Linked DNA regions of Callithrix jacchus. The protein of the gene in region 4 interacts with the protein of the main gene of each other region in a pairwise test. Links are inferred from orthologs where the notes say so. Each region holds a gene or a part of one and is shown on either strand. Other genes may lie near its edges.

Region 1 (4,422 bases), on a different chromosome or scaffold from region 4:
AAGAATAATGCCTTTCCCTCGGAAGGGAAGTTCCAAGTTCTGGCATGTGTGTTCCCGCGCAGGACCCGTCTTCTTCCTCCGCCTCCTCCTCTTCTCTCCCTCTCTTATCTCCCACACGAGTGCTCAGGGGCAGGCAGGGGACAAGGTCAGAGACCACTGGAATATGCGGGCTCCTCAAAGCCTTCAGGGCCACCCCCAGGCACATCCATCCCCCAACCCAGCCCTCTATTGATAGGCTCTATCTCCCAGCGTCCTGGGCAGGGCCCGCCACTGGCCTGGAATGGCATCGGATTGGAGCTGGGCCTCTGTGTGCGGTGAAGCCTGGATCCAGGGCGAATACAGGGAGGGTAGCCTGGCCCAAAGAGCGATTCAGCTGGCCAGCTCAGCACCTTCCTCACACCAGGCATCTTCATACACCCACAAGGCAGCTCCTGCTCTCATGCCCTCTTACAGAAGGAGAAACCACCTTACCTGGCACATGAAGGAGGGGATCACCCTGTGGAAGGTGGAGCCTTTGTAGCCGAAGCCCTTCTCACCAGTGCACAAGGCTCTGAAGTTCTCTGAGGGTCGAAGGGAGACACAGGTCAACAGGGCCAGGCCCCAATTCCAGGGTCATACCTGTTCCAGCCAAAATCCCTGCTACACCCCCAGCAGTGAACGGGGGGATAAAGACCCTGGTCCACCATCTTGGGTCGGCTCTGTCCAACTCGCTATATAACTGAACAAGTCACAGTCACTCCCCTGCCCTGACCTCAGTGCCTGAGCACTGTGACAAGAGTATAGTTTACGGCTGTATTAGCACCAGTGGAGCAGGGACTCAAGCACTGATTGTGCATCACCCTGCCTCATCGGGCACCAGGAAGGGGGAAGTCTCTGGGAAATTTATTACATGTGCCTTCCACCAGCTCTGAGGCTCCCAGCTACTATGAAAGAGGAGGGCAGAGCCAACGATGAGGCCCACATAGGGACATAAGGGCTGCCCCAGAGCACCCAGTGTCTGAGCCACACATGGAGCTCCCATCCATCAGGGATCTGTGAGCCCCAACTCTTCTCACCACTCCACCCACCTTGCCCTGCCTGGCCCCCTTCCCTCTAGACCCATCTCAGAAGGCCCAGGCCCTGTCTTACCAGCTGTCTTTGGGACAACATCTGCCTTCAGCTGTGGGGAGAGAAGAGGGACAAAAGAGGATGGTCATTGGAGAGGCAGGAGAAGGTGGGTATCTCTCAGCACCCACCGCAGCTGCCAAGAGGCTGAGGTGGAAGCATGTGGCCATTCCATTTCTGTTACTGCCAACCCCTGTGGGAGGCAGCCCTATCATTTCTGTGAGCCATTTCCTGAACCCAGCGCTGGAGGAGGTGGCCTTGTTTCCCTAATCTGTCAGAAGAGATGACAATGCTATCTTGGCCTACTTCTGGGAACACAGCTGGCAGTGCTCCCACACTGGCCCAAAACATCAGAAACTCGGGGGCAACAGAGCGGGTCTAAGGTAGGACCCGGTCCAGCTCCTCAATTTGGGGATGGTAAACTGAGGCCCAGGGAGAGGAAGTGCTCCCACATCTGGGCCCAAAACATCAGAAACTCAAGGGCAACAAGGCGGGTCTTAGGTAGAAGCCAGTTCAGCTCCTCAATTGGGGGAAGGGAAACTGAGGCACAGGGAGGGGCATGAAGGTGTGGGGAGGGAAGGCTGAAACCCCATCCCAGCAAGCCTCTAGCCTCAAAGCAGCAAGAGCCACCCTGGAACCAAATGGAAGCAGGAAGGGTGTCCCTATTTTCCAGAAGTAACTGAGACTCAACAAGAAATATCAAGGGCTCCCTCGGAAACGGGCCAGTCAACACGAACTGTCCCCTGCTGTCAATGTGGGGCCGGCGGGAAGCCTCCACTAGGGCTTTCCCTCTAAAGTTACCCTGGTGACTCTTTCTTATTTTGCTTTAGAAAGGGCCCAAAGAAAGAGTCAGGGCAGGTGCTGAGTGTGGACCCCAAGGACGGTGGCAGGGCTTGAGGCTCGGGGGCACACTGTGTGAGTGTGTCCCGACTTGCAGGAGGGGCATTCAGAGGTCCACCAGGTGGCCAAGGCCTGAGGCCTGCTGGGCCTACACTACTGCTGGAAAACACCTCTAGTTTCATTTTCCAGCCCCCCAGTGTAAGCCTGACCCGGTGGCGGGGCCAGAGTCAGGGCGTGCTCCACGTTGTACAAGGGCTGCCACGTGAGTGGCACAACGAGTGAGCCACAACTCTTACCCCAAGACCCCCAACACCCACCTCAGAGCTTCAGGTCTAGGCTGAGCCCCTGAAGACTCCTGGAGCCCCTCATTTCTCCCGGGGCTGGCCCGGGGGTGCTGGTCCCTCCCCTCTGCAATCTGACCTTGAGCTTTCTCCTCCACACGTTCCCTCCCTGTCTCCTTCGCTCCAGTGCTCCGAAGGAGGCCGGAAGAGACCAATCTGACGCCCCTTCTCAGAAACAGGGAAACTGAGGCCCAGAACCCAGCAAGCGGGGGATCCAAGCTCACCCAGCGCGCCCGGGGCCCAGGGCTCTCCCGAGCCCGTGCCCGGCGCCCAGGCCAGCCCTGCGAGCGGTCTCACCTCCAACACCACGCGGCCGAGCGGCTGCCCGTCGGCGCCCACGTCTAGGTACACGAGCGGGTTCCCGGGGGAGGAGGAAGAGGACGGGTCGCCGGCGCCCTTGCTGCAGGCGCGGGCCGCGGGGAGGCGCAGCGGCACAGAGCGCGGGACGGAGAGCAGGCCGAGCCGGCGGGAACCGCAGCGCAGCGCCAGCATCGTGGGCGCGGATCCGGCGGGACACCGGCGGGGAGAACACAGAACTCCGAAACGTAGGTCGCGCGCGACCAGAAAGCAGAGTCCCGGGCGGCCGCTCGCCGCAGCCTTTATTCGCCTGGCCGAGTTCGCAGCCCCGCCCCAGTCCCGCCTCCTCCAGGCCTGTCCGTGGGCGACCCCTGCCGGTCGCGGCGGGCAGCGCAGCCAGCCGGTGGAGCCGCGAGGCGCGAATTGCTTTGGAACACTCCCGCCTCCAGGCCGGGAGAACCCAGAGCACAGACACCACCCGGCAAAAGGATGCTAGTTCCATGTTTATGAAGGTACCAGCAGATGGTTTTAAAAAGGAAAAATGCTAAAACATAATTAGTTCCCAAATATGAGCGTCTACATGCTGCAATTTGAATATAATAACAAAAGTCTACCTTTGAGCCCTTTATAGGTAAGGCTCAGGCCAAATAGCTTCCCTGCCGCCCTAGGTCCTGCAGTCGGAGAGGGTTAGAGAAAGGTGAAATGAGAAGCGGGATTAGTGAGCCGGAGGCACAGGAGGGAGGAGGTAAGCTGAGACGCTTCCCATGATGCCCCGCAGCCTGTCTCGGCCTGGGCCTGTCTCTAGTTGTTTCTAGGGACCAGATCTGCTTCCAGCAAGACTGAAAACGCAGCCTGGGCCTGCCATGCTCCTTCCAGGTCCCCAGCCCTCCCCAGGACTGGGTCTGACTCCCACCTCCTAGGACTCACGCTTACAGCTCCCCACCAACCCCACGGCTCTGCCAGATGCTAACTCAGACCGCCACCTGCCCCTCCCATCAGCATGCACCCTGGGAGGGGACTCAGTGGGGACATCCGCAGCAGGAGCGTTTAAACCCCATGTACCCAGAGTAGGCTTCCCAGCAGCCAGAGCCATCCTCATTGCGAGGTGGTGGGAAGCCTGCAATAAATGGACACGAGGCATGGACCTGAGAGAGCATCCGGCCCAACACTTGTACTGTGCCCAGGGGAAAAGCTGAGGCCCGGACATAGGAGGGCACTGGCTAGAACTAGGGAGCCCTAGAGTCCTGCTGCAAGCTTGCACAGTGTTCCCAGGCCTCTCTGGGCCAGTTTCCCATCTGGGGGTGTGATCACGCTCCTCACCCTGCCTTTTTCCCAGGTCTGTTCTTAGGATAAAATGAACTAGAGAGAGATGGATTTGTCAACTAAGTACTGTGCCTATGGGCATCTGTCATGGACAGAGTCTGGACTACCTTTCTCAGGGTTTGAGATTCAGAGAGCAGTGGCCTCAGAGGCCTGAGTGGCCAGAGAAAGGGGTGGGGCTGAGCCTTGGAGGCAGGTGGGCTTGAGCAGGGACTGGCTCTGGATTGACCTGCCCCAGATCCTGAATTGGCTCATAGGAACCGGTAGGGCAGCAAAATGCTAGCCAAGCAAATTCATGAGGTCAGAGCACTGTCCCTGCTTCATGAGATTGCTAGCTTGGCCTCTGGCAGTTTGGAAGTTTGGCTAGCTTGGCTTCTGGAAGTTCGTATCCCCCTTCTATGCTTCCTGGCCTAGGAGGGGCCTAGGCACCCAGTGAAGCCCAGGTGGGATGCATTCCAGGTCCCAGCCTAGAATAGGGCCTCACTCTGCTCTAAGGAGCAGCCCCTCCTTTCTTGTGACT
Region 2 (3,806 bases), on a different chromosome or scaffold from region 4:
CTCCTGTACTCATGTAATCCACCCGCCTCAACCTCCCAAAGTGCTGGGATTACAGGCGTGAGCCACTGTACCTGGCCAGCCACTGGTGTTTTCTTAAAATAAGCAAATAAAATTCCAAGGTCAAGGAAACCAGGCAGTACTTACCTCATTGACTATGTAATCCAACAACTCAAAAATTGCCATGGGAGGTCGGCTGTCCATTCCATATGCTACAAATTTTATAAAAAGAAAAAATACTTCTCAGAAACAGGAGATTACTTGTTAATATGAGGCAAGGGGTTGGGCATGGATCCCTAGGGCCAGAACAGGGTCATGGACAATAAACAGATTAAACAGCCACAGGTAAGGCTTGAACAGAGAGGGGACCAGCAAAGGCCAGGGTACAAGTCTGGGCTCTGCCACATCTTAAGTTTGTAACCTTTGGCAAATCAGTTCACTGCTGAGCCAAAGTTCTGAGTTTTGTAAAGCACAGGCATCATAATTTTGTCTGTCTTTTCCCTCCTCCTCCTGTTGAGAGAGAAGCAAATGAGAGAGCAGCTAAATAACTAAAGACCTTAATTTTAATTCTCCATGAACCTGCGTTTCTTCCTTTTGTCTCCTAGAATCATAGGCCAGCCTCAGAGGCCACAGCCACCAGGCCCTCCAATGACCTGTGAACAAGCTACCCCTAGCCCCCTCTGCTTTCCCCTTCATACAAGCTCTCTCTCATGTGGACCTCACAGAGGTAAAGGCAGGTATCCCTACCCAGACAGGAGCTACATAAAAAACAGATGGCTGGGTCAGGCTATTCCCTGAGTACCAGGCTTAGTTCCCATTATTCACGTTCAGCGAGGCAGGTGGTTCTGCACAGCGTTTATCATCCTGGGAGTCAGACTTGGCTACTTACAAGCCTATGTAGCCTTGACAAGTGCACTGTGCCTCAGTTTCCTCATCTTTAAAATGGAGATTATAATCATGTTCAAAAATGGAATGCTACTAAAATTACATAATGCTAGGCAAATCCGTGGACACAGAAAGTAGACTGGTGGTTGTCCGGGGATCAGGCTGGGGGGAGTGGGAGATGGGATTTCTTTCTGGGGTAATGTAAATGTTCCAGAATAAGACAGTGGTGATGGCTGCACAACATGGAACAATATACTAAAAACCACTGAACTACATACTTTAAAATGTGAATTTTGTCTTCTGTGAATTCTATTCCAATAAAAAATAAATCTACCAAAAGTCATGATTAAAAAACGAATTAGAACACAGTGGCTCATGCCTATAATCCCAGCACTTTGGGAGGTCAAGGCAGGAGCATCACTTGAGCCCAGGAGTTCCAGACCAGCCTAGACATAGCAAGACCTCATCTATACTAAAAAATTAAAAAATTAGCCAGGCATTGTGGTCTCAGCTACTCAGGAGGCTGAGGCAGGAAGATTACTTAAGCCCAAGAGGTCACGGCTGCAGTAAGCCATGATCACACCACTGCACTCCAGCCTGGGTGACAGGGCAAAACCCAGTATCCAAAAAGAAAAACCACAAATTAGAGGCCAGGCATGGTGGATCATGCTTGTAATCTCAGCACTTTGGGAGGCTGAGGCGGGAGGATTGTTTGAGCCCAAAAGTTTGAGCTTGAGTAACATAGGGAGACCATGTCTCTACAAAATAAAAAACAACTTGGCTGAGTGTGGTGGCATGTGACTGTAGTCCTAGCTACTCAGGAGGCTGAGGTAGGAGGATCACTTGGGCCTGGGAGGTTGAGGCTGCAGTGGGCTGTGATCATGCCACTGCACTCCAGCCTAGGTGACAAGAGTGAGCCCCTTCCCTCCCAAACCCCCTAATAAATTATAGCCTGTAGTCCCAGCCTACTCTGGAGGCTGAGGGAGGAAGACTGCTTGAGCCTAGGAGTTGAAGGCTGTAACTAGCCACTGCACTAGGCAACACAGCAAGACCATTATTCTTAAATAAAAAGATTAGATAATGTATGCAAAATGCTAAGTGCAGTTCCCAGAATACTGGGAACTGAACAAATGGTAGGAAGTTGTTGGTAATAACACTTTCCTACACCCACCTGGAGACCCCTGCTGTTTCTCCCTGCCCTAGTGTGGCATCCAGGGACACAGAATCAGTCTTGGCAAAATGTACGAAGAATCAGCCCTCCAGAAATCCCTGAAAGTAAGGGACCCCCACAGTCCAAGGTGGGGACACACGAGGCTACTCACAGCTAAGGGGCCTCCCAGGGGTCCTTGGCCTGGGTGGGGTCTCAGCCGCATCTCCCTCCACCTGGCACCCAAACATCAGCTCCAGCTCCTTGGCATCTGGAGGAGGGATGGGATACCTCCCAACTGCCATCTCTACCAGAGAGAGTCCCATGCTCCAGATGTCCGACTGCACAGAGTAATGAGTCCCCTGGAGTCTTTCTGGCTGCAGGAGAGACAAAGAGACAGTTATAATCACCTGACCTAACTTGGACCCCTGGATCTGCTAATGCATTTTCCCTTCTGTCCCTTCTGAATAGTTAATATACTGTTTCAAGAGCTCCACTAATCTCTTGAATTTGGCCTCCTGCCTGCCCCCAAATATTGTTGTTTACTAAATCCTAGCTAGCACCACTGTCTTTGACCCCTCCTCCCTGCTCTATCTCTCCTATAATCTGGACTAAACTAACAGACCACATGAATTGGCTTGGGCCTGGCTGCCACTTCAGCCTATGGTTAGCTTTACCCAGCTTGGCCACTGTCTTGCATGGGCAGGGAAGCCTGTCCAAAGCCCAGCATGAGAGGTTCATCTTGTTACTGAATCTGAAACATGAAGCTTGTGGAACTCGGGTTGGGAATGAGGTGGTGCTGTGGATACAGAGAACAAAAGATCTAGGATCAGTGGGTTTGAGACTTAAGTCCACTTACAAGCTAAAGGATCCTGAATCTCAGCCTCATCTATAAAATGGGGCTGCTGCTGGGCTGGGCGTGGTGGCTCATGCCTGTAATCCCAGCACTTTTTGAAGGCCAAAGCAGGCAGATAACATGAGGTCACGAGACCAGCCTGGCCAACATAGCGAAACCCCATCTCTACTAAAAATACAAAAATTAGCTGGACATGGTAGCAGGCACCTGTAATCCCAGCTACCTAGAAGGCTGAGACAGGAGAATCTCTTGAACCCAGAAGACGAAGGTTGCAGTGAGCCGCGATCACACCACTGCTCTCTGGCCTGGGCAACAAGAGCAAAAACTCCGTCACAAAAAAGAAAGAAAAAAAAAATGGGAGCTGCTGATGAAAATGACTAATATTTTATCACTGACATAACAAAACTCTACTTAGGGTTACTAAAAAGATCAAATCAAATGAAAATGTATGTCAGATGTTGCAGAATGTTATACAAATATTAGTTGATACTGGTGGGAAGAGCCAAAGAGAAAAAAAGTATACAGTGGTATACAAAAGCATTATTTTTAATGAGCATTATTTGAAATAGCACGTATTTCAAGAACCCTACCAAGAAAATCTTTACTCTGGCCATAGTATATCCATTTAGACATTAACTTCTCTCGTAGCATTTTTCACTAACTCCAACACTAGACTATTTTGGAACTGACCATATAATCACAAAAACTCAAATCACTAAACCCTTGATCAGTGAGTCCCAGGGCCTGTTAAAGGATTTTGAACTTGAGAGTTGGCAGTCAAATGGCCCAGGATGCCAGCTGTTCTATTAGACATTTAGGGAAGAAGCAGTGAGGAGATGACAGAAAAAGAGAGTTCTGCTGTGGATCACTGGGGGTGGGGAGATGTGGGTCAGTGCCAGGTAAGTAATGTTGACAGTGCCT
Region 3 (3,700 bases), on a different chromosome or scaffold from region 4:
ATTAGAAACTTTCTCTGAACAGTCAGTTACTTGGATATGGTCGTAAAATCGTTTTTCAATTCCTGTCATTAAAAAAACAATTCCAGATCAAGAACTTTTATCTAAGTCAGGAATTTTGTACTTCAGAAATGTAAAGTTTCATCTCAGAGACCTGTTAATGGCCACGTGTCTTAAGTCATTTTTAGGAAGATAAACAAATAAGTCAGTCAAAAATCTAGGCCTCATTTGGATGGAAGTATTAAAATTAACTAGACTTTTCTTTTTCTACAAGAAGTTTTTCATTCTACAAATATGAAAGTTTACTTCAATAATTCTGTCTGCATAGGAAAATTCAAGCATTATTTAATTATGAAAACATAACCTCAACTTCCTCAAGTTCAGTATATTGAAAATCATGTTCTCAGATGATAAAAACAGAAGAGTGTGTGTTGTTCTTATCAGTAACATATCCAAATATGCTTGTGGCACTGAAAGTATTCAAATTACTAAGTTTTCATTGTAATCAACAAAGAATAGTGCCCAAGTAGAACATAACTTACATGATATATTTTTCTTTGTTCTGAACTGTTATATTTGCCAAAGCTGTCCATAGTGTTCACTATTAATAAAACCTGCCCCCCAATCGTTGTCTACTTGGAACACATATTTTTTTGGTGCCCACTCCCCATCTGCTGTTTACTCATTCTTCAAAACCCAGCTCCGAGGATGACTACCAAACCCTCCGTCTTCCTCCAGGCCCCCCATGCTACCTTTAAACCTTTTTGTAAACCTTTGTTATCACCTGTTAGATTCTCTTGTCGAGGTCTTAACCTCTTCTGTGCTCTGGACATCTTTGGCAGTCTGTCTGGTAAAGCTTGTGGATCTCATCTCTGAATAATGTTTTAAATGCATAATACACGCAAGATTATAAAGGAAGCTAATTATGTTGAAACAGTTCTGTCCCCATCACTCTTCACCCCACAAGAACTATAAATTTAGTCCACCTCCTCCTGTGGATTGTTTCAACTTTGTGTTCTCAGAATTTAGTGCATATTTGGCACACTTAGATTTTTATTGAACTGATTTAGATTTGTTTTATTGAGACAGGATATTGCTCTGCTACCCAGGCTGGAGTGCAGTGGCCCAGTTATGGCTCACTACAACCTCCACCTCCCAGGATCAAGCCATTATCCCACCTCAGCCTCCTAGGTAGCTGGACTACAGGTGCAGGCCACCACACTAGATAATTTTTTTTAAGGTTTTTACAGAGATGAGGTCTCACCATGTTGCCCAGGCTGGTGTAGAACTTTTGGGCTCAAGTAATCTCCCTGCTCAGACTCCCAAAGTGCTGGAATTACAAGTATGAACCACCACGCAGGTTGACTTAGATTTTATTGTCATTGGAAGAGAGGATTGATTTAGGTTCTTCTACCTTAATTTTGCTTTAATTTTGTGGCATTTCTATGTTAACTTTAATAATGTAGTTTTTTATACTTTTAATTTTCATGAAATATCATTAATGCCAATATATTTTTCAACAATTCAGGTTAATTTTCAGGAGGACCTAGGACAAGGGAAGAATTTGCCTTTAATAAAAACTTTCAAAGCAAAGGAGTTTTTAATTTTTATTTCACATTTACATTATATTGCTCAGAAAACTATCATGGTTAACTCACAGAATTGTTTCAATCAAAGAGATTTTTATAAGCACTTGAAGAGAAAACCCATGCCTACCATAATTTAGTCATGCAGTGGTGGAGCTTAACAAAAGACAGACATTGTATGTCTTCAGTTTCTTTGCTGTTTCCCTCCAGTATACTACAGACCTTAGAAAAATTATGGCATCTTTAAACATCTAGATTTTCTTTCATTATAGGAAATTTATTATTCCCTTGATTGTCTTAGCTCTTCATTCACATGCAGTGCTCATCTGCCTGAGCCACCTGCGTGGTAACGGGGCTGTTGAGGGAACTGAAATCAGCAGTGATGATGGGGACTTCTTGCACTCTGAGATGCATATGTTGAATCATATGTCAGATAGCACTTTGGTCCTTGGTGTTTGCAGCTTTTGATTGAGCTTGAGTTTTATATTCCTTTTCTGTGCTGTAAGTTAACTGTGTTTTAAAAGCTTGTTTCCAAGCTTCTTTTTTAAGTTCAGTGACTAAAAAGCATTGGGTTGTCTGTTCTGTGTTTAGGCCAAAACAGCTTCATGAAATCCCAGCCTTTTATTGTCCTGACAAAAACAAGGTGAATTTCATTCCTAAAAGTGGATCTGCTTTCTGCCTCGTCAGCATCCTCAAGCCACTCCTTCCCACTCCTGATCTTACACTCAAGGGCTCTGGCCACAGCCTGACAGTCACCACTGGCATGACCACCACTCTGCTGCAACCTATTGCTATGGCCTCCCTGTCTACAAACACAGAGCAAGACCGAGTCTCTCGAGGAACAAGTACAGTCATGTCATCAGCTTCTCTGCTCCCACCACCAGAACCAATTGAGGAAGCTGAAGGATAGGTCACAGTGCTACGTGGCTCTTGTTCTGGGAAATTGGGAACCTCCTCAGATCACTGGATTCTGATGGCATCGTGCGCTTCTGGTCAGCTGTGATGTGCTCCAGCTTTCCAGTGACATGTGATGGTGAGGCTTCTGGAAGAAAGGACCCCCTGTGATGGCTCTGCCCCACTCGTGTACGCCAACCCTCAGTGCTTAGCCTGCTTTTTATCAAAGCACTGATTGAAACAAGAAAGGTCTCATTCTTTATCTTTGAAGAGACAATATCACATTGTTTTCGAATTAGACTTCTTTAAAACACACACACAACTGTCGACAGATAGTAGACACACACAGACACACCCTTGCAAACATGATTCCTAAAGGGAGATGTGACTGATGCTGCAAGAACCATCTTTTCTATGAAAATGACTATTTTATAATATACCAATGTTACATTTTCTGAAACGTAGCAAAACAGGATGTTCAAAAGATTCTTTGGTGGCCTCTGTTTCTTGTTCCTTTCTAGATGTGTGCTTTTCTCAGCTGTTTTCAGCTTTGGGACCAAAGGGATTGTTGACGTTTTCCCAGCAAGAGATTAAGGATTAATCTCCCAAACAAGGATTGATAGGTAAATGCATTGAACAAGTATATATAAAAAGAGATAAAAAGCAATATTTGTATATTATGTGATTTATGTTTTTTGATGTCAAAAGTTTGTGCTTTGGGTGAAATATTTGTATAACTGCTGTTTTCTTCACTATACACATTTCACCTTGTGGTCAGAAAATTGTAGTCTGAAGACAAGTGCTTTAATATGTTCTCACCCATATTGGAACTTGATTTAAAAGTCAGTGAGCCAAAAGGAAACTATCCAGTGTTGATTGCTAGCTAAGAGTAAGGAGCCCCATTGGTTTTCTGTGATATATATACACACACACATATATATATATATATATCACACACTCTCCCTTCCTCACCACAGGTGTCATTCTACCTTTAATCATCACTGTATCATAGCCCCAAGAGATCCTGAAATGGCTGTGCATGGATTTCCTCCTTTGCCCTTGTGATGTTGTTGTCTTGTGGATTTGGTTGGGCTAGTAGTTTGCCAGGAGTGTAATCCAGTGGATAGTGATCCGAACCGTAGCCGCAGAATCCTGTGACTGACATTTTCTTTGTGGTGGTGGTTGGTCTTGAGATTTGTTGCCTACAGATTTTGCTAATTTAC
Region 4 (4,477 bases):
TGCCCAAGTTCAGGTGATCCACCTGCCTCAGCCTCCCAAAGTGCTAGGATTACAGGTGTGAGCCACTGTGCCTGGCCAATTTTTCTCATCTTTTTGGATCTGGTCTTCATGTTTAAAAAAAGACAGGCCCTAGCTACATACCAGCTACCAGGAAAAAAAAAAAAAGACCCCACCTTCCCATCAGTACCTTTCCTGGCACCACTACCCTTCTGCGGCTCCTCCTTGGAGTGTTTGTAAGGTTCTTTTGCTGTGAGTAACCCAGCCGCCAGCCTCAGTGGAACCTCTGGGCCTCATTCTGGAGGAGACTTTGACTCGGTAAGGTTGCCCATGGTCGCACGGCCTGTGACTGCGCTCAGTCCTGGTTTTATCAAGGTAAAGCCTTTTCTTCTCCCAGTGAAAACAGCTCCCTTGCCCTGGGTTTGGGAGATCAAAGGCATTCTTGCTCATTGCAAATAATTCGGAAAACAGAGTCGAGTGTAAAGAAGAAATGAAAGGCAATGCAGTCCAGTTAAACAGAGGGAGATAACCAGGAATGACATTTCCAGGAATTGCCCTATACTTTGGGAATTTTTTCCTAGGATTACCACAAATGCACATTTGCACATTTATTCTACATAAAATATAACGTGTGCACATTCGATGCCATCCTTTTTTTTTTTTTTTTTTTTTTTTGAGACGGAGTCTCACTCTGTCGCCCAGGCTGGAGTACAACGGCAAGATTTCGGCTCACTGCAATCTTTGCCTCCTGGGCTCAAGTGATTCTCCTGCGTAAGTCTCCCAAGTAGCTGGAATTACAGGACTGCGCCACCACATCTAGGTAATTTTTGTAATTTTAGTAGAGACGGGTTTTCACCATGTTGGCGAGGCTGGTCTCGAACCGGTGACCTCCAGTGATCAGCCCGCCTTGGCCTCCCAAAGTGCTAGGATTACCGGCGTGACCACGGCGCCTGGCCGCCATCACTTAGGCATGTGTTTCATGTAGGAAATGTCTAAGACCATAATCACTACTGTGTGTGCTACCCCCCCGCGCGCGCGTGAACTCAGGCCCCTCTGGACGGACAATGGGGACCCCTGACCACTTACATCTTTGGAAACACGCCTCCCAGCGCTCCGGAACCTCAGGGCAGGACTCGTCGCAGCAGCAAGTAGGACCCGCTGGGGGCGCACAGCCCACCTGAATCATTGTAACTACAAGTCCCAGCAGCCCCTGGTGCGGGGACTGGACGCCGCGACCGGAGTCCGGAGAGACTACAAGTCCCGGCAGGCAGGGTCCAGACGAAGGCACTACGAGTCCCAGAATGCATCGCTCCTAGCTTGCGCAGGGAACCCTGGGAGATGTAGTCGTTGAGGAAGCTAATGCCTATTCATTCCATCTCAAAGAAGATGCAAATTCTTCAGACAGTCCACTGAGATGAGTTTTCTCAGGCAGGCCAGGCGCGTGGGCGAAAAACGGGGGGAAAAAAGCCCTGGGAAGCCGATACCGTCGCGGGAGAAGCCAGCCTGCGCATGCTCACCGGGAGGCCGAGCGGGAAAAGTGCGCGTAGTGGGCCTCGCCGCCCGCACGCCCCGCCCCGGCCCCGGCCCCACCCCCGGGCCTGCGCGCCCAGTGAGCCTGCGCGGAGGGCGGGGGCCGAGCGTCGCGGGGAGGGGCTCGCGGCGCCTGCGCAGAGCGGCGGCTTCTCTCGCGAGGACGGACGCCATTATCGCATCTCCCCGACAAACACCACGAGAATTCCGCAGCCCACACGGTAATTGCAGCTCCCGCAGCCGGTCGCGCCTCCGCCTCCCCCTTCCCGCGGGGCGAGAGCGAGAGCGAGATCTCCCTCCTCCCTCCTCCTCCTCCTCCTCCCCCTCCCGCCCGCCGGGCCGTCCGCGCCGCAGCCCCGCCGCCGCCAACTGTCTGGGCCGGGCGAGCGCCCCCAGCTCCTCGCTCCCCGTCCCTGGCCGCGCCCCGGAAGAGGGGCTCCCGCTTCCTCGCTTCCGCACCCCCTGCCCCGCCGCGCCCCGGCGTCCGTTGGGCCGCGGCTGCCGTAGCCCGGCCCGGGGGCCTCGAGCTCCCGATCTCTGCTCCGGGGCCGCGGCGGGGAGACTGGAAAGGCCTAGAACCGCGCCCGTGCTCCTCGGGGGACCGAGGTCTCCCTCGGGGGTGGCTCCTGCCAGCCAGCCGTGAGCGACGGGCACCGTTTCTGTGCCTCCTCCATGGCTGTGGACAGGAGCCCCAGTAGCCCAGGACTTGCACGCGGAAGCCTCCGGCGCGCAGCGAAACGGGCGATCTCAGGGCTGCCGCCGAGCTCGGCGAGGACCCCAGCCCGTTCCCGGGGGCCCCCTCCTCAGCGCCTGTGTGCGAGTTCTGTGGTGCAGCCCCTAAAAAGGGGGCCGTTTGTTTTTCCCTGGGGTGCAGAAAGTAGATGACGTTCCATCCCCACTGTGTGAGCGCACTGGAGACAGTGCCTTGCTGGAGGGGACTGTGGTTTTTCCCTGAGGACGTGGCAGGGCTTGTCTTGCTCTTGGGGAGATACATCAGCCCTGAAGAACTGTGAGCAGGTGCACGAGTGTGGGCTCTGAACGGTGGCGAGCTCGCACCCTCCCCGGGGAGGCCCGGGCCGCACAGTTGATGTGGAGCCGGTCATTCTCTGTTTGGAGTTGCCTGTCTGCCCGGGAATGTACTCCAGGGCCTGATGGCGTTGGCGGAACTTGCGCTGCAATAAATAACCGATAAGAGGAGGCAGTCTTAGGGTACACTTGTAGCTGGAAGTTCTTGGGGGACAGAAAAATAGCTCGGAGTAGTGAGTGGTTCTGAGGAAGATCAGAAAACATCAAATTAAAACTAGATCTGGTCATTTCGCCCGCAGCTCGCAAATACCCAGTGCTAGAAGAAAACACCGAAACGAGGTGAAACTGTATGTAGGTGCATTTCCCCTGCCTTGCAATTCAAATAAGAATATATTCATAAGCTGCAGCAAGTACCACTGGGCAGGGAGACCTCCACCCAGGCTGCGCTGGAGGCAGTGGGAAGACGCCCAGGTAGAAGAGCATCGAGGGTCTGGCGGGGCCCATAGCCTACGGAGCTGAGCCTCGGGGCTGACAGCATTCCAGGCTGAAGGCCCCCAGCAGGCTCCGATCCACATGTTAACAGGTGATTATTGTTAATAAACAGGTGTTCTGTATTTACTTACAACTCAAGAAATATTCCAGGTAGGCAGTTGTTACCCGCTTACCACTAACTGAAAGGTCCTCTCCACAAGGGAGCCACGGGGCCAGGGCAAACTTAATGTTTCTCAGCAATGTTGGATTCTGTGCTCACTGGTTTTAATGTTTTTATTTTCTGGAGGCAGGATTTTAACTGTCTGCCAGGCTGGAATGCAGTGTGGTGATCTTGGCTCACTGCAGCCTCAACCTCCCTGGCTCAAGTGATCCTCCCACCACAGCCTCCCAGGTAGCTGGGACCACAGGTGCCACCACACCTGGCTAATTTTTGTATAGTGGGGGGGGTTTCGCCTTGTTTCCCAGGCTGTGGCTTTAATCTTTAAAAAAAAAAGAGCTTCAGGCTGTGGGGGCAGCTCAACATCTTGCATCCTTCACCGTGACCCCCACTCCATAGATGAGGTGATGTGGCTGCAGATGCTGAGGGCATGTGTGCAGATGCACAGAGCCAGGGCTCCAGTTCAGTCTCTCTAAGCTGATGTTCTTAAAAAACACACCCCATCCATTCAGTGTTTTAATCAACATAGTGTATACAGCAGCCATGTCAGTGGAAGACTTACATGAAAAGCAGTGTCCCCTGCCCCACCTCCCAGCCCCATTCTTCAAAGCCTGGTTTCTTGAGGTCCTTCTCCATAGCTCTAAGTAAGCTGGTCTTTTCATTTGTTTTTGAGATAGGATCTCCCTGTGTTCCACAGACTCTACCCAGCCCTGGTGACCCTCAGCCTCCTTAGTAGTTGTTGCAGGCATGAGCTGCCACACCTGTTGCCCAGGGTGGGCTTTAACGTGCCCTTTAAGCTGATACTTTCTTTTTTTTTGAGATGGAGTTTCGCTCTTGTTACCCAGGCTGGAGCGCAATGGCGTGATCTCGGCTCACTGCAACCTCTGCCTCCTGGGTTCCGGCAATTCTGCCTCAGCCTCCTGAGTAGCTGGGATTACAGGCACGAGCCACCGTGCCCAGCTAAGTTTTTGTATTTTTAGAAGAGACGGGATTTCACCGTGTTGACCAGGATGGTCTCGATCTCTTGACCTCGTGATCCACCCATCTCGGCCTCCCAAAGTGCTGGGATTACAGGCTTGAGCCACCGCCCCTGGCCTAAGCTGATACTTTTTTTACTCAGCCTTGACTTTGTGTTATGATGGGTGACGGATCCCTTCTGTCACATGCCGCCTCCTCCATCTCATGTACCCTGTTTTCAGGGTAGGGTCAGGTCCCCTCCTTCTTCAGCCTCTCAGCTTTTTCTGTAACCTGCACACGAGCCAGCCTGATCATTTC
Region 5 (3,806 bases), on a different chromosome or scaffold from region 4:
TAAGGGGCTTGCTTGTGGCAGCGTGGGAAGGTGTGGCACTTGGAGGCAACCTGAGGTGTGGTCACTTCCATGGCTTGTTTACTCAATGGGGAGAGCAAACTTAGCATAGCACATAGAAGTCCCATGGTGCCAGCACTATGGTCCTGTGAGTGTCCACCTGCTGCATTCTTCCCTGACACACCCCCTCTGCTGCCCTTTCCTGAGCACCAGGTACCCAGAGTCGACTCAGCCCCATCTTGCAGAGTCACTTCAGCATCCCCCAAGCCTCCTGCTTAGAAACACTGGCCAAGTCATAGTCCCTGCCAGGTCTGTGAATGCCCACCCTCCATCTATTGTGTGTGTCCCTGCCTTCTCTTGTTGAGCACTCCCTGGGGGTGTCTGCCTGCCTGGCCCCTATGATCATACCAGCTTCAGGCAGCCCCCACTTGGTGGAATCTGGGTCAGTTCTGAGGTCCCCTTGCCTGGAGCCTTTCTGCTGCCCTGAGGAGGGCCCTCTTGGTGGGAGGGGCTGCCAGCCAGGTCCCGGGTTATCGGCCCAACACCCCATTTCAGGAGGTATCCTGCACTTCCCTCCCACGGCCAGGATGGAGGTTTATTGGTTGACCACTGCACTCTCCTCCTTGGCTTTCCCAGCCCCTGGCCTCCAGAAGTGCCTGTGCCCCTACCTGGGCTACTCAGGGTAGGTAAGACCTTGAGCAGGGAGTCTGCCCACCCCCACTGGCCTTCAGTCCTTCACCCCAGGGCCTTCTGGGGGGTTCCTGGCTACTGGCTCCTCTCTAAATCCCATTTTCTACAGGGTGGCTAAGATTGTCCTTGACTTTATATGGATATCCAGCCTTTGGTGTGAGTAGGAGAGTGGGGAAAGTATTTGGAATCAGGAAGGCCGTCTCTAAGGTTGATCCAGTGAATCTGGGTGGCAGGGCCTGGATCAGAAAGGGTTCATGCTGGCTGCCAGGCTGGGTTTGTGGGGGCAGAGCATCACCAGAGTGGGTGGGGTGGGCCAGTGCCAGCCTCCTCCACTGCCTTGCCTGCCGTCGGTGCCCAGGTGTCCTTTATTGAGAAAGGGGTGGGGCCTGGTGGTACTGGGGTCCTTCCACCCTGCTGAAAGGGTCTCCTGGCTGCATCTCAGCTAACATCCCTTCCCTCCTGTTGGGCAGCCAAAGCAGCTGAGTTCCAGATAAACACTGTCAGACCCGGCCTGTAGGCTGCTCCATTGCCAATGAACTCCATGAACCCCATGAAACCTGCCCTGCCCCCCGCGCCACACGGGTGAGTGTGGACCCCTCTACCCACCCCTCAGGTCCTGGGGTTGGGGGTGGCATTTCCGGAAGGTCCTGGACTCTGGACACCGATGGCTTCCGGACCCAGGCCTCAGCAGCCTCTCTCCCTGCAGTGATGGTTCATTTGCGTACGAGTCTGTGCCTTGGCAACAAAGCGCCACTCAGCCGGCTGGATCACTGTCCGTGGTCACTACTGTGTGGGGAGTTGGCAACGCAACGCAGAGCCAGGTAAGCACCCACTGGGACCCCATCCCCAAGTAGACAGAGCCTCCCAGCACTTGGCAGTGCTTAGTGCCTCCTTAAAGCTCTGAGAGGCTGAGAGGTGAGGATGGAGAGGCTGAGGCTTACATGAGGATGGGGCCTCCTGAGTCCCCTAAATCTTAGGACACTGGTTCTCTTTCCACACCTGCTGTGAGATTTTCTTCTCCGGTCTTCACCTAGCCTTCACAGGATGCCCCGACCTACCTGTGGACAGCTGCTTTCCCTGCTTCTGTGTGATACCCCGTCCCCTCCACCAATCCCCCAACCCGCTTGGCAGGACTCTTGGTTTCTAGCACTTTGGAGCTGCTGCATGAAGCATGTTGTTTGGCTGGTTGCCTTTGGTGATTCCTGCTTCCTCATAGGTTTTGGGGAACCCCATGGGCCCTGCAGGGAGTCCCTCTGGCGGCTCCATGATGCCTGGTGTGGCAGGGGGCAGCTCCGCCTTGACCTCCCCACAGTGCCTGGGACAGCAGGCGTTTGCTGAAGGTGGTGCCAACAAGGGCTACGTGCAGCAAGGCGTGTACAGTCGCGGGGGCTACCCTGGGGCCCCCGGCTTCGCCACCGGGTAAGCAGGTCCCCTCACCTGGCAGGTGTGCTAGGAGCCATCAACCTGGCAGGCACCTCAGGACTGTGGCACTGATCAGCTGGACGTTGCCTCTCTGCTTTCCGCCAGCTCCGACAGCTGTCATGGAGGGTCTAGAAAGAATGGGCTCCCCCTGGGTGCTGCATGCCTCTGGGGTGAGCATGGTCCTGGCCCTCATGAGCCCATGCAGAGAGCGTGGCAATCCTGTGTCTCCTGCAGGTATGCCGGCGGACCGGGGGGCCTGGGCCTCCCCTCACACGCTGCAAGACCCTCCACTGACTTCACACAAGCGGCAGCTGCTGCCGCAGTGGCTGCTGCTGCAGCCACGGCCACGGCCACGGCCACAGCCACCGTGGCTGCTCTCCAGGAGAAGCAGAGCCAGGAGCTGAGCCAGTATGGAGCGGTGAGCCCCCTCAGCAGCTCCTCCCACATGGCAGCCAGCCTGAGGGCCTGGGAGGAGGTATTCCTCCCGGCAGCGGGCTCCAGGGACAAGCATGGAATACGCCAGGGCTCACGAGGCCAGGAAAAGAGATGTGTGGGAAGAAGTGAGGGTCTGAGGGGAGGTTTCTGGGCTGTCCTGTGAAACGGTATGGTGCCCACCCTGGTGGGTGGGTGGGTGGTGTCTCTACCTTGTGGAGCCCTTTGTGGGTGGGGCCTAGACCATTCTTCTTTATTCTCTTCCTAGATGGGGGCCGGACAGTCTTTTAACAGCCAGTTTCTGCAGCATGGAGGTCCCCGGGGGCCTAGTGTCCCCACTGGCATGAACCCTACTGGCATGGGAGGGGTGATGGGCCCCTCCGGCCTCTCCCCCATGGCTATGAACCCCACCCGGGCAGCAGGAATGGCACCCTTGTATGCAGGGCAGCGCCTGCCTCAACATGGGTATCCTGGGCCTCCCCAGGCCCAGCCACTGCCCCGACAGGGGGTCAAGAGAACTTACTCTGAGGTGAGTGTCCAGATCACCTAGTTTGGGGCCTTGGGTACCAACTCCCTCACCCAGGCACCCTTTAGAGCTGTGGTAAAGAACGGGCTTCTGCCGGGTGCAGTGGCTCATTCCTGTAGTCCCTATACTTTGGGAGGCTGAGGAGGGTGGAGCCCTTGAGCTCAGGAGTTTGAGACTAGCCTGGGCAACAGGGTGAAACCCTGTCTCTACAAAAATTAGCCTGGGGTGGTGGCACGTGGAGCGCCTGAGCCCAAAAAGTCGAGGGTGCAGAGAGATGTGATTGCTCCCCTGCACTCCAGGCTGGGCAACGGGAGTTAGACCCTGTTTCAAAAACAAGAGTAAAGGCCAGGTGCAGTGGTTCACACCTGTAACCCCAGCACTTTGGCAGGTGGATTACTTGAGGTCAGGAGTTCGAGACCAGCCTGGCCAACGTGGTGAAACCCCATCTCTACTAATAATACAAAAAATTAGCTGGGCGTGGTGGTGCTCACCTGTAATCCCAGCTACTTGGGAGGCTGAGGCAGGAGAATCACTCGAACCTGGGAGGTGGAGGCTGCAGTGAGCCAAGATCATGCCACTGTACTTCAGCCTAGGTGACAAAATGAGACTGTTTCAAAAAAAAAAAAAGGCTTCTGCGTGTGAGAACTGCCTATGCCAGACAGTGTCACAGCAGAATCTTCAAGGGGACCAAGAAATCTTCATTCCCCCAACCCTGCCACAACATGAGACTCTGCTTTCC
Region 6 (3,806 bases), on a different chromosome or scaffold from region 4:
AGGCTTCCTAATCCAAGCTTTCCCACTAATTTCTGCCTAGACTTTAATCAAATTTCTTAATAAACTTCTAAGGGGTTTAAAGAGGATATTACCCAACCATGCTATACCAGGCATTCCACAGTCAGCATCAAATTACAGAACGGTAAATGAGAAAGTAAGGTCAAAAGACAAGACTTAGAACTACTACTAATGGTGCTAAAGACCCTAAGTCAGAGCTTTCAGAGGTTCATATTCTTTCTCTCCTCTAGAAACCTTGAAATTCAGAGTCCTACTCACCTGCGTAGTGATAAATATTGGTTGTGAAGCCACAGGGGAACTAGTCACATGATTGGCATTCTGCATGACCTGAACAGGTCTCAATACTGGTTGAGTAACCATTGTGCCCAGACCTGGGGCTGGATTCTGGGTCAGGATGAGCGGCTGTCCACCTTGCTGGACCAGAGGGTTGCCAGCTAAAAGGTTAAGCGGGGGGAAAAAAAAGGAACGTTAAAAACAATGAATGTTAAACCTACATTTTATTTTATTTATTTGAGACAGGATATCGCTCTGTCACCCAGGCTGGAGTGCAGTGGCACAGTCATGGGTCCCTGCAGCCTCAACTTCCTGGGCTTGAGCCATATTTCCACCTCAGCCTCCCAAGTACAAATCCACATTTTGTAAGAAACAGAAATGATGTCCCAGACGCCAAAATATCCAAGACTGACACTCACCATGTTTAATGTGACCAAACTCGCCAAAAATTTAAGCTTCACCCAAATCTACAACTAACAGAAAAACAGATGGGTAGGGGAGGTTCACTAACATTTCACCCATATGTCTTAACTGGGGATGAAAGACACATTAGAATTCTATGTGACTATCACCTTGACTCTCATGATTTAAGGTGACCACACATAATCTCCCCCACCAAATCAGCACAGAACAAAATATGTTAAGTCTTTTTCCATATTTTAACTAGGTAAAACCTATTTTATTAGAATATAATTTGTTAGCTAATCCCCCTTAATTCTTTAAAAACAATATTCATCAACAAACATTAATTCAGCAAGTACACAGAATCTGAAGAATGGTTTCTCTTCCTAGTAAGTTAAATCTGAGAAATGCAAGATTCTTTAAGCAACCACTGTCTTTTAGAAGGGGACCCAGAGACTGACAGGCTACCTACCACCTTTCTCTGCATGTCATCAGGGCTGATAAACAGAAGACCCAGACAAAAACTAACCCACACCAAGTAAAAATGACATGATTTCAGAAGATAATCATTCATTCATGAATAAAAATATGAATAAACAGGGCTATTACTGAAATATCTTCAACTCTTCATTTGTGAGAAAATAATTTCATAAATATTTTTAAGTCCCCTATTTCATGACATTTGGTGAAAACAAAAATCAACACTAAGTTTCCTGATATACAAAGAATACTCAAAACCAGATAGAGAATTTCAGAGAGCCAATATACCTAGGCGAAAGAGTCAAGCAGGCTAGGCACAGTGGCTCACACCTGTAATCCCAGCATTTGGGAGAGTGAGGCAGGTGAATCACTTGGGGCCAGGAGTTCAAGACCAGCCTGGCCAACATGACAAAACCCCGTCTCTGCTAAAAATACAAAAATTAGCTGAGCATGATGGTGCATACCTGTAATTCCAGCTACTTGGGAAGTTGAGGCAGAATTGCTTGAACCAGGGAGGTGGAGGTTGCAGTGAGCCAAGATTGTGCCACTGCACTCCAGCCCGGGAAACAGAGCAAGACTCTGTCTCAAAAAACAAAAAACCAAAGAGTTAAGCAAAATATTGTCTCAACTTTTTACCCAAAATCACCAGAATAGGACAGGCCCCTCTGAAATGTACATTCCACTTGGCAGGTCCATCACCACAGTTAACTACAAAGCTACACCACCAAAGGAATAGGTATGTAGGTGGCTACTAATGGGCCAGCAGTGGCTCATCTCACACTCTCTCAGAAACTGAGAGCTCATCAGTAGACTAGACCCTCAGTTACTGAGCCAGAAGACTAGTGATTGTAGAGGCAGCTAGACAAATAAAACAGAGAATTCCAGCAAGTTCTATCCATGTTAAATTATACTGGCAATGTATTGATGGTGGGTTTTTAAAATCTTTTAAATGCTTTATTATGGAGAAGTTAAAACATACAAAGAAACAGAACACTACGGTGAACCCCTCCCTATACACCACCCTGCTTCGTTAATTATTAACGCACGGCAAGTCTTAGTTCATCTATACCTCCTATACATGTACTAGTTCCCATATTACTTTAAAACGAGTTCTAGATCATATCATCTACAAATATTTCAAAATGTACCTCCTACATAAGGATTTCAAAAAAAGATAAAGAATCATACCAACATAACTCCCGAACATTTAATATCAAATACCCAGTCAAAATTCAAATTTACTTATTTGCATTTTTTAAAGCGTTTGTCTGAATCCAGTTACAAAATGTTGGCAAAGTGCAATGGATGAACAACACTCAAGTCTTTTAATCCACAGGTTCCCCAACCATCTCTTTCTATCCTTTTGAAATTTATAGTTGAAAAACATTGACTAAGCAGAAGTCTGGATTTTCTAGTCATTGTTTTAACTGCTAGGACAAAAGAAAATAAATTATCTCGTTTATCCTAATCCTAAAAAACATTTAGATAATTCCCGGCTATCATATCCAGTTTGGGAAGATAAAAAAAAAAAAGATAATTCCTGGCTCAACATCCCAATTAAATACAAGAAGGGAAAGATGGAGGTTTTTTGCATTTATGTGAAATCAATCAGCATTCCCAAGTCTCTTACAGACAGACCAGGTTTCCATGAAACCCATAAATACCATTATAAAAAATGTTAACAGCATTTTCTCCAAATATTTTCCCTTATATCAGGGTCAAGTCTAAATTCTGGTGGAATGTTAGAATTTTTCCAAAAATATGGGACAAAGAAAATAGTGGTTTTCAAAGACCAGATTAGATTCACGATTCAATGGAAAGCAAAAGCCAGACTATGGAAAGTCACACTGGGTAAATTATACCTGCTTATTTAGAAGCATTTTAAATAATTTCTGCAATCTTTTAAACCTTAGCTCAAAGGAATTCTGACAATTCAAGTGTCTTACAAGGTTCTCTTTCCAGAGGATGAAAAGGCAATTAGAATTCTGGTACTTTAAAAAAAAGCCTTTAAAAGGATTATCCAGCCTGGAGCAGTGGTAGGCACCAGTAGTCCCAGCTATTCAAGAGGCTGAAGCAGGAGGATCACTTGGGCCCAGGAGTTTGAGTCCAACCTGGGCAACACAGTGAGACCCCAACACAAAAACAAAACAAGGCTCACGTCTATAATATCAGCACTTTGGGAGGCTGAGGCAGGCGGATCACTTGAGGTTGAAACCAGCCTGGCCAACATGGTGAAAGCTCACCTCCACTAAAAATACAAAAGTTAGCTGGGCATGGTGGCACATGCCTGTAACCCCAGCTATTTGGGTGACTGAGGCACAACAATCATTCAAATCCAGGCAGCGGAGGCTGCAGTGAGCCAAGATCCTGCTACTGCACTCCAGCCTGGGCAGCAGTGTGAGAAAGACTCAAAATAAAAAACAAAAAACAGCCAGGTGTGGTGATGTGTGCCTGTAGTTCCAGCTACTTGGGGGCCTGAGGCGGGAGGATCGTTTGAGCTTGGGAGGTGGAGGATACAGTGAGCCAGCCATGTTCGTGCCACTACTACACTCCTGCCTGGGTAAGAGAGTGAGACCCTATCTCAAACAAAGCAAAGCAAACCCAACAAACAAACAAACAAACAAATGAAACAA
Region 7 (4,591 bases), on a different chromosome or scaffold from region 4:
TCCCAGCTACTCGGGAGGCTGAGGCAGGAGAATTGCCTGAACCCAGGAGGCGGAGGTTGCGGTGAGCCGAGATCACGCCATTGCAATCCAGCCTGGGTAACGAGAGCGAAACTCCGTCTCAAAAAAAAAAAAAAAAAAAAAAAAAGGCAGGAGGCACAGACCGTTGTTTCAGATCCCCTTCCTCTGTGCCTTCCCCTGCCAGCTCACCCTCTTCTTCACCTGCTCTCCGGCTGCCCGCACGTTCCGGGCCTCCACAGCGAATTTCTTTTTCCCCCTGGTCCTTCTCCTGGGTCTGGCCATCTCCAGCGTTCCTCTGCTTTACAGCATCTTCCTGTAAGTGCGAGAGGCTCCTGCCTCTTTCCCTCCCTCTCCCTGCGTTCAGCGTTCAGACTCCTGGCTCTACGTGAGCCCAGCCTATCTTGACTTCAGGATCCCACCTTCTAAGCTATGTGGTCCATTCCGGGGGCAGTCGTCCATCTGGGCCCAGATCCCTGAGTCTATTTCCAGCCTCCCTGAGACCGCCCAGAACTTCCTCTTCTTCCTGGGGACTCAGGCTTTTGCTGTACCCCTTCTGCTGATTTCCAGGTGAGTTTGCCCAGACTTCTGGGTCTGGGTTTGAATGCACGTGATCTGGGGGCCACCACCTGCGTCGGAGAGAGGAGAGGCTCGGGGTGGGAGGAGGCCTAGGGTCCAAAGGAGGAGGAGGAGGAGGGTGGGACTTAGGACTCCTGGGCTGGGAGACTGAAGTCCTTGTAGATGACATCCTGGCTTTGAAGGAGCCAGGGGTTTGTATAGAATGGAGGAGCGTGTCAGGAGTGGCTTCTGTTCGTGTCTCCTCCAGCATCCTGATGGCGTACACTGTGGCTCTGGCTAACTCCTACGGTCGTCTCATCTCTCAGCTCAAACGTCAGAGAGAGACGGTGAGCCAGGCGGGTCCCTGAGAGGGACCCCGTGGGGGACATTGAAAGGCATTGGGGGAGAGGGCTGTCTGACCTCCACCTCTCTTTGCCTCAGGAGGCGCAGAACAAAGTCTTCCTCGCACGGCGCGCTGTGGCGCTGAGCTCCACCCACCCGGCTTTTTGACCCCTGCAGCCCATGTCCCACCTTCAGACTCCAGGCCAATTGTAAGCCTAGGTCACATCTGTAAAACTAGGAGAACTAGAGAAGACCCCACGCTCTTCCAGCTCTAGGATCTGGAGGTTTCCAGAGACCCTCGCCGCCACGTCCCAGACTCTCGGGTGATCTTTCTTCTATGAATAAACACAGCCGAGGTGACTGAGCGCGCTTTGAAATCTGCGTCCTGAAGGTGGGGGCAGGGCTACATCAGGGCGGGAGCCAATCAAATGCATGGGAATGTGTGGCCGTTCGAAGTGCTCTTCCGCAAGGAGACTTGATGGTTGTGTTGGCCAATCGGCGGCCGAATCTGGCATTAGGGGAGGGCCAACTTGCGATTGGCTCGGATATGTGAAAAGCGGTTGCTAGGGGATACCACGCGCCAAAAGCCTGGCATTCGCTGAGATAAAGGGCGTCTTAGCCAATCACCTGTCGTTACAGGCCAGGGGGCCGTACCAATGAGTTAAGAACCAATCTGTGGTCGAAGTAGGGACAAGAGGGAAGGGGCATTCTCTCGCCAATCGGAAGTGCAGAGAGGCGGGCGTGCCAGTCCGTGGACTGCTACGACGCCATGAATATCTTGCCCAAGAAGAGCTGGCACGTCCGGAACAAGGACAATGTTGCCCGCGTGCGGCGTGACGAGGCCCAGGCCCGGGAGGAAGAGAAGGAGCGTGAGCGGAGGGTGCTGCTGGCTCAGCAGGAGGTAAGCCTGGGAACCGGCCGGGCGGAACTCCGGGGCCCAGCGCGCAGGCGCCATGGTAGGGGGCCGGAAGTGGACGCGTTGCGCAGGCGCCGTGTGCCCCGTATGTAATTCGTGACCCGGCGCGGACCTCTTTTCCGAAACGTTGCTCGGCAAACGTTGTGCCCACTTGCATGAAATCTCCCTTGATCGCCCCCTCGTCTTGTTTCCCCCCACTGATGTATTTCACATGGCTAGAGCAGTGTCTAGCACAAAAGAGAAGCATAAATGTTTACCGAATTCAGGATTCCTTGGACAGTTTGAGGAAATTCGGATCACTTTCTAGTTGGCTTGCACAGTCTATTTATTGAGCAGTTACTGTATGCTAACTGCATGCAGAACGCCTGACTTCCAGAATCCCCCTTAAGCACCGTTCTTTCTTAAAGAGGCATTGTCATCTCCGTGGCACGAAGTGAGATGGCGTCAAGGGAGGGGAAGTCTCCACCCCCTTGGGCGAGCCCTTTCCCTGCACCACCCCCAGACACACACACAAACATGGGCTTTATGTATAGCTCCTTAAATCTGTTTGGTGTACACCTAACTTTCAGTTCCTTAGCCAGTCTGATCCTCCACACTGGGAGGGAGGTAGTCTGGGTTTTTAGAATCTCAGTAGGCTGCTGAGAGCTTTGTCCTGAAGGTGGGAGACCGGGCTTCATCAATGGACTTGGGGTAATGACTTGGAGCCATGCCTGGAATCCAGATCATCTGACCTAATGCAGTTTGTTCTACCTTTATAGCTGTTTTAATTGTCTCACTTGAGGTTAGGAACCCCTTTGGTTTAGGCCAGGGACCTCCTCCCAGCCATCCTTGATGTGTGGTTTACTATTTGAAAGGCAGTTTACAAAACCCAGGTGTTGCCTTATCTGCCTACCCTCACCCCTGCTAGGACAGGTGCCCCCTTTCTTACAAACCCAGCACCCTGGACTGCTGTTTCCTGTGGTGCGCACCAGACTTAAAAGTTCTTGAATTACCTTTAGGTTTTTAATGTCTTGCCTGTAACTTTCTCCCCAGGCCCGTACAGAATTCCTACGGAAGAAAGCCAGACATCAGAACTCACTGCCTGAGCTTGAGGCAGCAGAGGTGGGAGCCCCAAGTTCTGGCCCTGTGGACCTGTTTCGAGAGCTGCTGGAGGAGGGGAAAGGCCTGATCAGAGGCAATAAAGAGCACGAGGAAGAAAAGCGACAGGAGAAAGTAAGCTGGCCTTATCTACTTCATCAGAGACATGAATGGAGCTGGGGGGAGGGACACTTTAGCCATTGGTTGTGACTAAGGCTAAACAAGAGTGAACACTCAGAATTTAGAACCATACCAAAGCACACTCAGAAGTGGTGGCTGTTGCCATTTGGGTGCCCTCAGGGCTTGGAGGTAGATGCTCGAGATCCCCAGCTGCTAGGTGAACTGCTCAGGTCTCCAAACTGGAGGGGTCTCAAACCTGATGAGCTTTTAAAAATCTAAATCAGCTTGGTGGTGGCTCATGCCTGTAATCCCAGCATTTTGGGAAACTGAGGTGGGCAGATCACCCGCGGTCAGGAGTTCAAGACCAGCCTGGTCAACATGGTATCTCTACTAAAAATACAAAAAAAGTTAGCTGAGCATGGTGGCATGCACCTTTAGTCCCAGAGGCTGAGGCAGGAGAATCGCTTGAACCCAGGAGGTGGAAGCTGCAGTGAGCTGAGATCGTGCCACAGCACTCTAGCCTGGGTGGCAAGAGTGAGACTCAATCTCAGGAAAAAAAAAAAAAAAAAAGTGAATCAATCACTTCTTGCCTTTTGGCTAAGATCGAGTGTAAAAGCTCCTGTTCCTCACCTGCTGTCTCTGGACTTGCTGACCCCACCCACGGGTCCTCTTGCTTTGCTTGCTCCCTGCAAAGATGCCTGCCTCTGAACATTCAGGCAGCTCCACCCCATCCCCTCCTTCCTCTGCTTTCTGTGACTGTCCCTGCTATCGTCACCCCAGGGCAGGAGCTTGGCCTCTGCTGGTCTCTTCCCTCCCCAGCACCTGGCACAGCTGCTTCACCATAGGCCTTAGATACCTGTGTCAGGGAGATAAACCTGACACCCTGAAAGATTATATCCCATCTCTTTTATTTCCTGACCCCTCAGGAGAGACAAGAGAAAGCTCTGGGCATCCTGACATACCTGGGCCAGAGTGCAGCCGAGGCCCAGACTCAACCCCCTTGGTACCAGCTCCCACCAGAGCGAGGGGGTCCCCCGCCTGGCCCAGCCCCAGATGAGAAAATAAAGAGCCGCCTGGACCCTCTGCGGGAGATGCAGAAGCATCTGGGGAAGAAGAGACGGCACAGCAGTGATGAAGGCAATCACAGCAGAAAGGAAAAGGATGGCTCTGAGACACAGCGACCCAAGGGGTGAGGAGGAGGACCCTGCCCTGGCAGAGCAGGACCCAGATCTTCAGGGCTTGGCAGCAGCCTGGCACAGGCACAGCAGGAGCTCTGGGTGGAACAGCCAGGGACCCCGTGAAGGGATGGCTGGGTGGAAAAGTGGTTCTCACCATGTGGTCCAGGGAGCCCTAGGGGTCCTGACTCCCTTTCCGGGGGGTGCCGTGGTGTCAAGCCTATTTTCCTAACACTGTTTGCCTTTCACACTCATTCTCAGGCAGGTAGTGCAGCTTTCCAGAGGCTACATGATGAGAAGACACCCTCACTGTGATGACTAATGGCAGATACTTATGTCCAAGTTTTCTTAGTTTTCACTTCTGATTTGCATGATATTAACAGAACCC

Evidence for each region.
Region 1: the proteins of BANP (region 4) and PPIF interact in binary tests that used the Homo sapiens proteins (3 or more experiments, as listed by UniProt). The two-hybrid records come from large-scale screens. The link is inferred for Callithrix jacchus from reciprocal best matches to the Homo sapiens genes BANP and PPIF.
Region 2: the proteins of BANP (region 4) and MAP2K1 interact in binary tests that used the Homo sapiens proteins (3 or more experiments, as listed by UniProt). The two-hybrid records come from large-scale screens. The link is inferred for Callithrix jacchus from reciprocal best matches to the Homo sapiens genes BANP and MAP2K1.
Region 3: the proteins of BANP (region 4) and FAM117B interact in binary tests that used the Homo sapiens proteins (3 or more experiments, as listed by UniProt). The two-hybrid records come from large-scale screens. The link is inferred for Callithrix jacchus from reciprocal best matches to the Homo sapiens genes BANP and FAM117B.
Region 5: the proteins of BANP (region 4) and ZMIZ2 interact in binary tests that used the Homo sapiens proteins (3 or more experiments, as listed by UniProt). The two-hybrid records come from large-scale screens. The link is inferred for Callithrix jacchus from reciprocal best matches to the Homo sapiens genes BANP and ZMIZ2.
Region 6: the proteins of BANP (region 4) and POGZ interact in binary tests that used the Homo sapiens proteins (3 or more experiments, as listed by UniProt). The two-hybrid records come from large-scale screens. The link is inferred for Callithrix jacchus from reciprocal best matches to the Homo sapiens genes BANP and POGZ.
Region 7: the proteins of BANP (region 4) and LENG1 interact in binary tests that used the Homo sapiens proteins (3 or more experiments, as listed by UniProt). The two-hybrid records come from large-scale screens. The link is inferred for Callithrix jacchus from reciprocal best matches to the Homo sapiens genes BANP and LENG1.

Annotation. Positions count from the first base shown.
Region 1 is NC_133513.1:50,871,617-50,876,038, forward strand, and holds the start of PPIF (peptidyl-prolyl cis-trans isomerase F, mitochondrial), read right to left. Parts: upstream 2,861-4,422; 5' UTR 2,778-2,860; coding exon 2,583-2,777; intron 1,160-2,582; coding exon 1,129-1,159; intron 561-1,128; coding exon 472-560; intron 1-471. UniProt on the Homo sapiens protein: PPIase that catalyzes the cis-trans isomerization of proline imidic peptide bonds in oligopeptides and may therefore assist protein folding. Involved in regulation of the mitochondrial permeability transition pore (mPTP).
Region 2 is NC_133509.1:13,516,205-13,520,010, reverse strand, and holds part of MAP2K1 (dual specificity mitogen-activated protein kinase kinase 1), read right to left. Parts: intron 2,407-3,806; coding exon 2,205-2,406; intron 210-2,204; coding exon 145-209; intron 1-144. UniProt on the Homo sapiens protein: Dual specificity protein kinase which acts as an essential component of the MAP kinase signal transduction pathway.
Region 3 is NC_133507.1:123,900,916-123,904,615, forward strand, and holds part of FAM117B (protein FAM117B), read left to right. Parts: intron 1-2,174; coding exon 2,175-2,493; 3' UTR 2,494-3,700.
Region 4 is NC_133521.1:45,580,972-45,585,448, forward strand, and holds the start of BANP (protein BANP), read left to right. Parts: upstream 1-1,664; 5' UTR 1,665-1,748; exon of another isoform or gene 1,749-3,136; intron 3,137-4,477. UniProt on the Homo sapiens protein: Controls V(D)J recombination during T-cell development by repressing T-cell receptor (TCR) beta enhancer function. Binds to scaffold/matrix attachment region beta (S/MARbeta), an ATC-rich DNA sequence located upstream of the TCR beta enhancer.
Region 5 is NC_133512.1:12,835,864-12,839,669, forward strand, and holds part of ZMIZ2 (zinc finger MIZ domain-containing protein 2), read left to right. Parts: intron 1-1,157; 5' UTR 1,158-1,219; coding exon 1,220-1,269; intron 1,270-1,393; coding exon 1,394-1,508; intron 1,509-1,903; coding exon 1,904-2,106; intron 2,107-2,343; coding exon 2,344-2,527; intron 2,528-2,809; coding exon 2,810-3,070; intron 3,071-3,806. UniProt on the Homo sapiens protein: Increases ligand-dependent transcriptional activity of AR and other nuclear hormone receptors.
Region 6 is NC_133519.1:11,336,990-11,340,795, forward strand, and holds part of POGZ (pogo transposable element with ZNF domain), read right to left. Parts: intron 453-3,806; coding exon 277-452; intron 1-276. UniProt on the Homo sapiens protein: Plays a role in mitotic cell cycle progression and is involved in kinetochore assembly and mitotic sister chromatid cohesion.
Region 7 is NC_133523.1:47,340,341-47,344,931, reverse strand, and holds the start of LENG1 (leukocyte receptor cluster member 1), read left to right. Parts: upstream 1-1,661; 5' UTR 1,662-1,684; coding exon 1,685-1,816; intron 1,817-2,863; coding exon 2,864-3,043; intron 3,044-3,954; coding exon 3,955-4,217; intron 4,218-4,591. Other genes in the region: voltage-gated chloride channel TMC4, read left to right, coding at 203-333, 430-585, 842-920, 1,015-1,083.